2 linked regions of the Caenorhabditis elegans genome follow. The protein of the gene in region 1 purifies or fractionates together with the protein of each later gene. This does not show direct contact. Each region holds a gene or a part of one and is shown on either strand. Other genes may lie near its edges.

What was found.
Region 2: the proteins of ceh-6 (region 1) and sox-2 purify together in Caenorhabditis elegans (affinity purification with western blotting, with the first as the bait; one study listed by BioGRID). This does not show direct contact.

The regions. Positions count from the first base shown.
Region 1 is NC_003279.8:8,497,575-8,504,576, reverse strand, and holds ceh-6 (Homeobox protein ceh-6), read left to right. Parts: upstream 1-1,972; 5' UTR 1,973-2,316; coding exon 2,317-2,490; intron 2,491-4,489; coding exon 4,490-4,944; intron 4,945-5,164; coding exon 5,165-5,267; intron 5,268-5,358; coding exon 5,359-5,493; intron 5,494-5,539; coding exon 5,540-5,641; intron 5,642-5,983; coding exon 5,984-6,157; 3' UTR 6,158-6,465; downstream 6,466-7,002. UniProt on the Caenorhabditis elegans protein: Vital for embryonic development and essential for the proper function of the excretory cell. Required for the transdifferentiation of the Y rectal epithelial cell to the PDA motor neuron during larval development.
Region 2 is NC_003284.9:7,457,523-7,462,259, reverse strand, and holds sox-2 (Transcription factor sox-2), read left to right. Parts: upstream 1-1,711; 5' UTR 1,712-1,749; coding exon 1,750-1,925; intron 1,926-2,003; coding exon 2,004-2,067; intron 2,068-2,508; coding exon 2,509-2,634; intron 2,635-2,705; coding exon 2,706-2,810; intron 2,811-2,862; coding exon 2,863-3,243; 3' UTR 3,244-3,978; downstream 3,979-4,737.

The sequences.
Region 1 (7,002 bases):
ATTAGATAATTATTACAAAAGTTGATTAGTTACGATCAATAAACAGGTTGCCAGGTTGATAGGAAATGTTTTAGTACGATGAGTTGTATTTCTATCTTCAATTTATTTAGGCGGATAGAAAATAAAATACAGTATAGACTGCAAAACTATATTTTGGAGGATTACATTCAGTTGAAGATTACTAGTTTCTCACTTCAAAAATTTAATGCTTCAGTGCGGGAAGAAATATGTGGAACCATAAAAAACATTTGAAAATGATTTAAAGCTAAAATTTAAAATACTCTTAAGAAGGCTCTTGAAGATGTATTTGGGTGCAATATTAATATAAAAAATACGGTATTCAACATTTACAAAAATCAAATATAAATGAAAACCAATATACTTAAATTTTTACATAAATCCAACTAGAGTACCATTGAAATATCTATTTCGGTTATTCACAACAAAAACTCGATTCTAACTGAGTAAAAGATCATCCGAAGACAAGCGGAAATTGGCACAAGCTTTCAATCCGGCTTAGAGGAAAGCGAAATTCGAGATTTATTGAGTGGGAAGATATGGGGAAAAGTGAGAAAACGAACATCTTGCAGCTGGAGTCATAGTTACAGAAATCAAGACAAAACTTTTTTTCAAACAAAAAATAAAAAATTTATCGCGTTAATTTTGATTGATTTCAACTATTACTTGCAGATTAATAAAGTTTTGGAATACTAAAAATCTTGAAAAGCATCCAGACTTAAAAATATGTATGGGACATTTGCCTTATTTTGATCTACATAGTCACACTAGTATGAATATACAATCAAATTATAAAACATGTGCAATAAAACATGATGGAACTTCAGAAAAAAAAACTGGGTTAAACTAAGTGATAGGTCAGTTTAAGAGGCACATTTTCAACCGGAACTTCTTGACAGTTCACAGCAAATTTGAAACCAAATTTTGCAACTTTAGCGATGGAAATGTCTAAAGGATATTAAACAGCGGCAAATTTTCAAGTTGAAAGAAACGAACTCGAAATCTATTTTCCTGAAATAAAAAATATAGAAGGAACCTATCAGGGAATATAACGTCGGTGAGGAAATGAGGATGAAAGTGATGGAAGAAGAGAGAAAGGGGTGCGGGAAGAAGAGTTGAAATTCATTGCTCATGCAAATCTTATGCCGTGTGTCTCTGTATGTATTTGTATGTGTGAGTGCCTTCTTTTTCCAACCATTCTCATTCTTCGCCACCCTCATTTTTGTCTGTTTCCTTTATTCAGTTTTCGATCGTCTCAAGATTTTTGAGAAATTTCATGAAATTCGCTAGGTTTTCGATTTTTTCTACCTTCCAGAAGTAATTTTTTATTTGAAATATGTGTATTGTGTAAAGTTTTCTTGTTAAAAACTTACGGTGTCAACTTCCAACTGCTTTGGGATATTTTATTGCAAACATACACTTCTTTTTTTGTCTACTTTTCTGTCAGAAGAAAAATATATTCGAGTATGAATAACCACTGAATTTACTGTATTTTTTTAGTTTACAATCGATGAAGTTTTCAGCTGTATGGAAAAAAGATGGAAAAGATTTTTCACCAGGTTGTCAATACGTAACGCTCTTTTGCCAAAATCTATTGAAATTATTACATAATAACTATTATTTTAATTGTTATCAAGCGTTGGCTTTTTAATTACCGTCTTTCCTCTAATAGCATTACACTGTATTGCTCAACTTTGGCACCTCATATCTAGATTGTCTTTGGGTTGATCAAAATGTTAGCAACTAACAAAACATTGGGTATTTATTATCTATAGTTTTGTAAAAAAAATAAGTTGTAAAATACTTCAAAAGAACCGAAAAATAGGCTTTCAAAAAGAATAGGCGGATGCAAGATTTTACGATTGTTTTGAAACTTAGAAATCTTCCAATAATGTGTTTCTATAACTTTCAACACCTCTTCAAATAACTCCAAATAAATAAATGTATTTCTAGACACTAAACCCATATCTTCACAATTCTACAGCATCAATGTCTCATGACAGTAGGCGTGACCATCTTTACAAACATATCAAAGAATGGGCGTGTCCTGATGTCAATTCTCGTCGATTGGTTATACGATTACGGTGGCTAGACGAGACGCAGAAAGACCGCTTTCCTGCCAACACATTCCAAGTGGCTCCCGTGTGAAAAAGAGACGCAGCAAAAAGGGAAACGAAGAAGAAGAAGACCGCCCCTCTTTTGACTACTACCTCTTCCTTTTCTCTCTTCATTTTCAACACACACATCCCATCTTTTCCACAGTAGTGGCCACCCCGTTGCTCCTGGACTTCCCAACTGATGCTCATACCTTCGTCGTCATCCATACCGTCTTCTTTATCTGCTTCAGCATCCGATTCTGAGCCATCATCACTGAACGGAAGTGGTATAAGTGATCAGAATATTCTACCTAATTATCATCTTCATCATCATCTAATTAACGAGAACGAGATGGAGGCAGCCAATTATGCACAGGTTAGTTCTTCTTTTTATTCGTTTCCTCCCACAACTGATTTGATTCTGATGAGGACGACATTATACAGCGAGTAGGTCCAAAAAAGGAGGCAAGCGGGGGGGGGGGGGCACAGCATTTGAATTTCAATTTTATGCCAATAAGAATCAGCCCCTCGACTGCCCCATTCAGTTCTTCTACACTTGTTGCCTCAAACTCTAACAGTGTCTTACCGCTGTTACAAAGTTGTATATTGTACATTGTTCTGATAGATTGTTATTTTCTAGGCATAAAGTAACATTCATCTAGAAAATTAGTTGAGCTGATACTCCTATATTTTAAGGTGTCTCTGATAGTACCTCAACTGCTTGTAGATCGACAAATGATGTAGTTGTTTCTTTCATTTGTGTTCTGAAAGTATTAGGTGGAACCGTAAACCCAGAATTCTGATGTTCCTGGCAGTATAAAACTTTTTATATCCTAGACATAAAGTGCCAAGCTTCTGTAATTTAGTTGAGCTAAAACTTCAATAAAGTATTGTTTAGATTAACTACTTGTAGGAATGATAACAGGTAATCTAAATCTATATTTTCACTGGCATTAGGCTTTCATTTATACAATGTTTATTTTGTTATAAAAATTGTGAACTGTAACTCCAGATTTTTGAAATTCTTACAGAGCAGTTTTTTCATTGTGAAACTAAAATAATTAATTTGAAGTTGAAATATTAAACATTTGCTATTATAACTATAAAAAGGTCTACTAAACCGTCAAATTGGAAAATTGATTTCGAAATAATGTGGGGACTAATAAAAACTGCAAAAATTGTTTGGTGAAACCTTACCTACTTTTAGGAATAATCAACAATGCATTTAACTATAATTTTATAAAACTCTTTGAAATTTTTCTCATTGATGTTTTTTAACTGCCAATGACTTGGTAAAAGAAGTATAGAAGGCTTAAGAAACATTTTGGTCCTTGGTCAGTCTAGAATTCATGAAATCGGAGCCGTAATTTTTCATTATACTGGTTTGTAATTATATCCTTTTTAAACACCTCAATCAATATTTGTATTATTTTCCTATTCACTAATGTACCTTCCAAATATCCCAGAACAATACAGTATCACTAACACGAACTGCACGTCATCACATATCATTCTCTCTGTAAAACTTGATGACTCTTTTTCAATCCGATTATCAAAATTTCCGCCCTTTCTTCTGTTTCTAGTACATCTCTCTTCATGTACACAAACTACTACAGTACCCCTTGAGTCTCTCAAAGATCGTTGCATTCGTCTGTCTCCACGTAGATACCATGTATAATAGACTCATGAGAATCTTTGTGGGAAACAGTTATCAACAATTCAATATTATTTTGTCATGTGTGGAGCGAAAACCAACAGAAAAAGGAAGAGTTGATGATGTACTAGAGGGTAGAAAATTGGCAGATGTAGTCCCTAAGAAGGCGCCGTGCTAAAGAGGATTAAGATTGATTGGCCTCTTTTTTTCTCTAAGCTGGGTGTTCATCTGTTCAAGACTAAATTGGATCGAGGCCAAAATTGTAGGGCCAGAAAATTGAACGATTTTATATAAGCAGTGAGGGATGAAATAAGAAGCTCCGGGAACATTGTCACAGTTCATCAGAATACTTTTATTTCATTAATATGGCTGAACTTTCAAAAATTACTCGAAGGAGCTGCGACCCATAATGATGTTACATACAATCGTCTCAATCGATTAGATTTCATAATGAGATATTAAAAATCCTGATTTATGTTGCAAATTTGAACTGTGTGTTCCGTTTTTTCACTGATTTTTCACTGAATATACTTTTTTCAATTGGTAGGCGCACATACCATTTTGAATCCTTTAAAACAAGGAAAGTTATATCTTTTATTTTTAGCACACTTTTTAATAGTTTCGGAACGTTTCTTATTTCAAAAATATTTAATAAGCTGTCACTCGAAGTACCACGTATTTTCAAAAACGACATTACAATTCTAGCTGCAAAATGTTTCAGGTTATCAAACCAACATGCGAGGCATTCCAAGATTGGCCGCATACTCCAATGCTGTATCAACAACCTCAACTTCATTTCATGCTTCCACAACACGATTGGGCATATCCACATCTTGCTCAATCTCTACCTCCTCCACATCATCTAACACCGTCCACTGCAGCAGTTGCTGCTGCAACAATTGCCTCACAAAGTTCAATAATCAATCAAACGTCTGTGGTTACAAGTACACCTTCGTGCCAAATCAAACAGGAAGTTGAACGACCTGAAATTATTCAGAGGTTAATGCCTCCATGGCCACCAGCTTATCAATTTTCTTGTGATGATAGTGGATCAGTGAGTGGAGCTGGTGGACCACATCAGCCATTATCTGATATTTCCGATGATAGTGAACAGACGTGTCCAGATGATTTGGAAGGATTTGCAAAACAATTTAAGCAGAGAAGAATCAAATTAGGGTGAGTGAAAATTTTAAATGTTCTCTACACATAACTGTAAAAAGTTAAACTTTTGAAAATAACAATTTCGATATCTCAAACATTTCGAGGCAACGTTCTGTCAACCAGCTGGTACAATGCCAAAGTTGGGCAGAAAGTTATCCTCAAATTCTGATCAAATTGGAATTTATCAGTTGGCAATTCCTCATATTCTTTCATTTTCATGTTCTTCAATTTCCAGATACACACAAGCAGATGTAGGTGTGGCTCTCGGAACACTCTACGGAAATATATTTTCCCAGACAACAATTTGTCGTTTTGAAGCGCTTCAACTCTCTTTCAAGGTTTGTTGACTTTCATCCACATGACTTTCAACGGAAACTGTTTCTTGTTGCCGACTTTTCTATGTTTTAATTGAATTTAATTTCGTTATAGAATATGTGCAAACTAAAGCCACTTCTATTCAAATGGCTCGAGGAAGCTGATTCAACGACTGGCTCGCCCAATTCTACATTTGAAAAAATGACAGGGCAAGCTGGAAGAAAGAGAAAGAAGAGAACAAGCATTGAGGTAGTTTGTGTTTAAAACTGAAAAATGTTATATACCGGTGTTTCAGGTCAATGTAAAATCTCGTCTTGAATTCCATTTCCAGTCGAATCAGAAGCCAAATGCACAAGAGATTACACAAGTTGCCATGGAGTTGCAGCTTGAGAAAGAGGTAAGGATATTTTTCTATTTTCCGGAATTTTTATTACTGTGAACTTCGAATTTTTTTTACAGTAACTTGACAATGATTTGAGATTTTGATTATTATGAATGAGATTTTGATTATTAATTCATTTAATTAAAGTGTTTCTCTACAAAAAAAAGTGTCCCAATAAAATATAAAGTTTAGGTTTAAGTTTAGTTTAGTACGGTTTAAATACCGTTAATTAAAATTGCAAATGTAGAGTGTGAAAAGGGTGAAGAATGAGGCAAGTGAAAGGGGCGCCTGGAGCAAGTTAAACGCCTACCTCATTAAATTTTTCTGAAACTTCACTTTCTCAAAAGTATAATTTAGGTTGTCCGTGTCTGGTTCTGCAATCGTCGTCAAAAAGAGAAGCGAATAGCTCCAAATCAATACGATGCTCCACATCCAATGGCTTTAAACAATGGATATCCAATGACTGCTGACCTTTTCCCATATCAAGCCGTCGTCAATCATTATACTCAACAGAGCCCGAGACAACAATAGTTTTTTGTGATGCGTATTGATGTAGCAGTAATATAATAATAATAATACTCAAATGAATCACCGGTAATTTATAATGACAGAAAGTTTAATAGTTTTCAAACATCCTTCTCTGAAGAAGACCAACAGTATTTCTTTTCCCCTATTATTTTTTTTGATACAATCCTCTTCACTTCTCACATCATTCTGAAAATGGGTATTCGTTTTTTACAATTATTAATTAGTTCTATTGTGTATCATTTCTAAATTAGTTTCCAAACTTTTTATTTTGTTCGAATTCATTTATTTTATAAATATCTGTACGTTAAAATGGAAGTAGCATATTTTAATTTAGATGTCTGCTGAATATAATTATATATAACTGTCTTTTTTCAGAGTAGGTAAAAATCAGAATTTAAAAAATTCAAAAAAGGAAATTTGATCTAGAGCATAAGCTTTCGAATAACTCATATAACTTTAAAGTTTTAAAAAAGTTCAAAATTTTCAATTTTGCAAATAAAACTGAAAATTACTGAATTAATGTATTTCTCAATTGGACTTGCACACTTTTGCTCTATTATGACAGCTGTATCCGTTATCATTGTCTCAGTTGTCTCTGCATTTATCAAAAATTGTCAACTGTAAAAAGACGTGCAAAATTTTTCTCTATATTTTAATTATTACAACTTTTTGATAACAGTTAAGACATCCGATAAAAGTCTATAAGTCGCCGAGCCGTTGGGGGAAAATCTACTAGAACAACTACGGTAGTTTTGAATTCCCGCACAAATGAATGACCTAGTTGTGGGAATTTCATAAAAATTAGAAATTTGAATTTTTTGCAAATAGGAATAATAATCATAAAAAAT
Region 2 (4,737 bases), on another chromosome or scaffold:
ATGACCAGCAAAAGCAGCAAAACTAGCGAAACAAGCCTTCGTCGTTTTTTTCTCTCCCGGATACTGTAGCTATGTGTATGTGAGAGTGCTTTCCAATGTGTGCTTGCTTGCTCTCTCTTGCTGTCCCGAGGTTTTTGCTCCATCGAGAAATGCTCGCTTTTTTTGCTTCATCTACAATAAACTTCCAAAATCTATTTCCCTGATTTCCTTGACAACAAGAAATAAATTAAATTTTTTGTATTGTACTGAAATAATTTGATACGGATTTGTAAGATGCTCTCCTGCCATTATAGGATATAGGTTAGGCGGCCCCTAATGCTATTTTACAACCACCTCGTCAACTAGGTTCTGGTTTTTCGTACCTTGTGACCCGTACCTCTGAAGAGCCGTCACTGCCATCATTTCCTTTAATGTCTGTCTCAGCTTTTCGCAATCAACAAGAAGCTTGCCAATAACTAAGGGATTATCTTCTCGAAAACCACAGATGCTCGTATCGCTCGCTTCATTTTGTCGGATTAGAACGGCGTCTTGAAAGGAAAGGTATACCTTGCCACCTTGGATGTGAATATAGCTTGTTAACAAATCTTCCTCTACCACCTCCCTACTGATGTTATCATTGTATTGAAATTTCTCCTCTCATCAGTTATCTATTGTTAATCAACCAGCTATTATTGAAAATCGAGATTTTATCAGGTTGGATTTTTCATAGTTTAACATTGATTAGCTATCAAAGTTACCGTATACTTGCGGGTCTCATGTTTTTTTTTCAATTTTTTCTCCAGTTTTAGTAGATCCATAACTCTGAAAAACAACACCAGGAACAATATGATTTGATTAAACAGAGAAGTGTCGTTTCCCAAATTAGCCGCCCGAAATGTTGAATGAATAGACAAGTGTTGAATAGATTCCGAGACTCAGTCTCCAGCGCTTTGTGAATAGAAACCTCAGATTATGAGCAGTCGTTTTTAATGAGTGCTTGAAGAAAAATAGGTTAGTTGCTTTTTTCGAGAAATCAAGTTTATAAATTAAATATTCAATTTGCGATATTGACATTTTCAGATTTGACTTCAATTTTGAATTAAAGCACAAATGCACAAACTGTAGTTTTGAACAATCAGAGTTTTTTGCCGCCTCTAAGTATTTTCCGATTGATTCTAAAGCTATAACTGGCTGTATCCGCCGTAGCAGGTGTTCTTCTCTGCGATACATACAAGAACTTTAGAATCCAATAATGTGTGAAATTGAAAAGTGTATAGTAATACCACCATCTCTTACTTCCTATTGCTATTCCCGAGGTGTTGTTCTGTACACGGTCACCTGCACATAGTTTACTTTATTCGTCGACGTCTTCCGAATCATCAACGTCGCCGTTTCTGCTGCTGGTGGAGAAGCGACGGATTGAGAGAAACGTTGTCATCATCATGTGAAATAGGTCCCGCCAGGACATTGCGTCGGCATCATCATCATCATACAGAGAGTTTTGGTAACGAGGGACAGAGAGAATAAGCCACGCCCTGGAAGGCGCGCGATGATTGGCCAAGCGGTGTTAGACCCGCCCACCCACAGTTGTCTGTGCACCTCTCGTCGGCGCCCAATCTCGTGAACCTCTTCCCCATCTTCCCTTCTTCTTTCTCCTGTCTTTTCTACCTCCTTCTCTTGCGCGATTCCCGTTCAAAATTCTATTGTATTTCATATTGGTTGTCTTTTGCAGTGTCCGGTCGACGTGTCATATCATTGTTGTTTAACAAGATGATGATGGATCCGGATTCAGCAAAAATGCAGGACTACTCGGGTTGGTCGTTTGGATTTCACATGCCACCAACATCTTCAACAAATCTTCTCCCGCAGTCAATGCCAGATGATTTGTCAAATGGGCCCGATAGCCCTGATTCAACAGGAAAAGACGGAAAGAAGAATGACGACAGGTAAGATATTCAGGTGGCTCTTCTGTGGAAGTGTTAACATCGAAACATTGTTCTATTCATCTATTGTTTCCGTTTCAGAGTGAAAAGGCCAATGAATGCATTTATGGTTTGGAGCAGAGGACAGCGGAAGAAAATGGCTCTGGTAAATTTTTCTTTCATTTTCTAACCTACTGTTAATTCCTGACTTTTTAAAATTGTATCTGATATAGTTTACTTTCACACTAAATCAATCATTTCCCACACTCTTCTATTGCATTCCTAATTAGTAAGACACAGTTTGCGTCAACGATTCGATTCGTGACCTTCTTGATTCACTTATGTCTGGAGAATCTTCTAATATATGCACATCGTTTTCTCGTTTAGAGTCTCTGATCCCTTAACTCACTTGAGTTAATCCTCTACATTTAAAATTATTTTTCTCATATTGCATTGAAAATCTGGAGAAAATAAGTATTTAGGTTCTATTCACAGAAAGTTTTAGTCATATTACCTGTGTTCGCCTAAATTTCAACATTTCGAACAGCTTGAAAGCAAACTGCATTTCACGTATCTTACATATTATATTACACTTTCATTATTCTAGGAAAATCCAAAAATGCACAATTCTGAAATCAGCAAACGTCTTGGGACAGAATGGAAAATGCTCAGTGAACAAGAAAAAAGACCATTCATCGATGAAGCGAAACGACTACGCGCCATTCATATGAAGGTTAGTTGGGGAATCTGGGTCGCCTGATACTAAGCTTATTGAATAGTGCCATCACAATTTGTTCTCTTCAGGAACACCCAGACTACAAATACAGACCGAGAAGGAAGACAAAGTCAATTAATAAGAAAAATGGAGCACCAATTCCATTTGGAAATTTGGACACAAAAACGCCATCTGTAAGTTTTCCTTCGATATTGAATACTTCATATATCTATTTTCATGTTTCAGTATCCGACGTTAACAACCAACTGGAATGCGACAAATCAGTATATTGATCAGTTTCGGTTTGCTCCGTACCCCACAACAACTGTAATGGATCAAATTCCATTCTCGTTGACATACCCAGTGCATTCGGTCCCAACTGACAACTCGTCGCCTTCGCAGTTCCAGCCATCTCCGATGAGCACAAATTTTGCTGGCAGCTACCTGACACCAAAATCAGAGAGCTCGCCGGTTGGCAGTGATTCTACAGTCGGCACCGTTGACTCCAGTCAGTTTCGTGCTTACTACGACCACACAAAGGATCAGATGATGTATCCGTACAGTATTGAATTGACTCATGCTCAAAACATTCAAAATGCTCTTTCCCAATCCCATGTTACCTCTTAAACACACTTCTCGAAAGAAATTGACCTTCAATTAGTTTTTTTGGTACAAATTTCAATACTCCATTAATTTTTTTCAAAACGGTTTTTGACTTTTGAAACATCTGAGCTTTTTCAATTCCAAAATCAAAATCTGAGGCAGTTTCAGAGATGTGCATTGCTAAATGACTTTTTACCTCTTATTCCCATTTCTCTCACAAAAAATTCAATGTCCCGTGTAGGGTGATACGTGCCCAGAGGTTGTTTCACTTCCCCATTTTTTCTCCCTTTAAAATTTTGCCAACACAACACTGACTTGGTATTTGACTGTTTTTGAAATTCTAATCAATATGTTTCGTATATTTGTTTCCTATGTCAGTTTTTGTGGTTTATCGGAATTCATTTTCTCCGTCCTGATTCTTGATAATTCTCACTGTTCTTCGATTTTTGTTTGCTCTCTTACCCATTATTTGATGCCACTTGTGTCAGCCGTCATTTTCCACGTTTCCCCAGTTTTTTAATCCATGCAACCAATTTATTGCTCCTAACTCTCATCACCTTCAGTTTTATTGTATATTTCTTTCTTGAAACTCCAATAATTATTCGCGCTTAGAAACCTATTTAGATGCGTCCCAACTCATTTCTGAGGACCTCATATTTCAGTTTTGCATTCTGAAATACCATGTTCTAAAATTTAGATGTTGATACCATCATATAAGTTTACAAATTTTTAATTTATCCATAAAATGTTGACACCCAAGCTTAGATCTGTAAAACCAAACGACTAAAAAAGATTGAAGCAAGAAGCAGTCAGTTTCCGGAGGCTTCTTTTTTTTCACCCAGATTTGATAAAAAAGATGCATTGGTATTTTTACTTGCACACAACCAACCAAAAGTGTGTTCTTTACTTGATTTGGTCGTTACCGAGAAGTTTATTTTGTTCAAACAAGCAATGGTGAAGTGAATGTATCAGAGGCAGACGAGAAGAAACCGAGAAGAGTCAACGAAAACTGTGCATATGAATTTCGCGAAATTGTCAAACATCGGGTTGTTGGTTGTCTCGTTTTCTCGATTCGATTTGCGCCTCGACACATACACACATACATACTGTTTCTTCCTGTGTGGTGAAGTTGGGTTGTGATGGAATCGGAATAGGGTGGTCTCAATTCCTCAACTCAAACAAAAATAGCCGGAGCTGCCGCCGAGCAGTGTATGATCGAATTTCGGTCGTCCACAGTCCGGCTCCGTGGCTCCTGAAGCACGCACGCGCGCACACTCTCATACTCATACACCGAAGTACGAGGTTTTGATTGCTGTAGGGAGATTTTGGAAAGTCATTTGCCCGCCAATCTTGGCCAGTGGAAAACAACGGGAGACTGACGATGCCCAACCAATTTTGTCCCATATTCATATGCATGACTTTGGCAAAAGCAGCACAAGTGCCCCTCAGACCGCACAGCAGGGGGCGTTCAAATAACTGACTAATATTTTTGGGAGCTCTGTAAGTTTTGGATGTAGT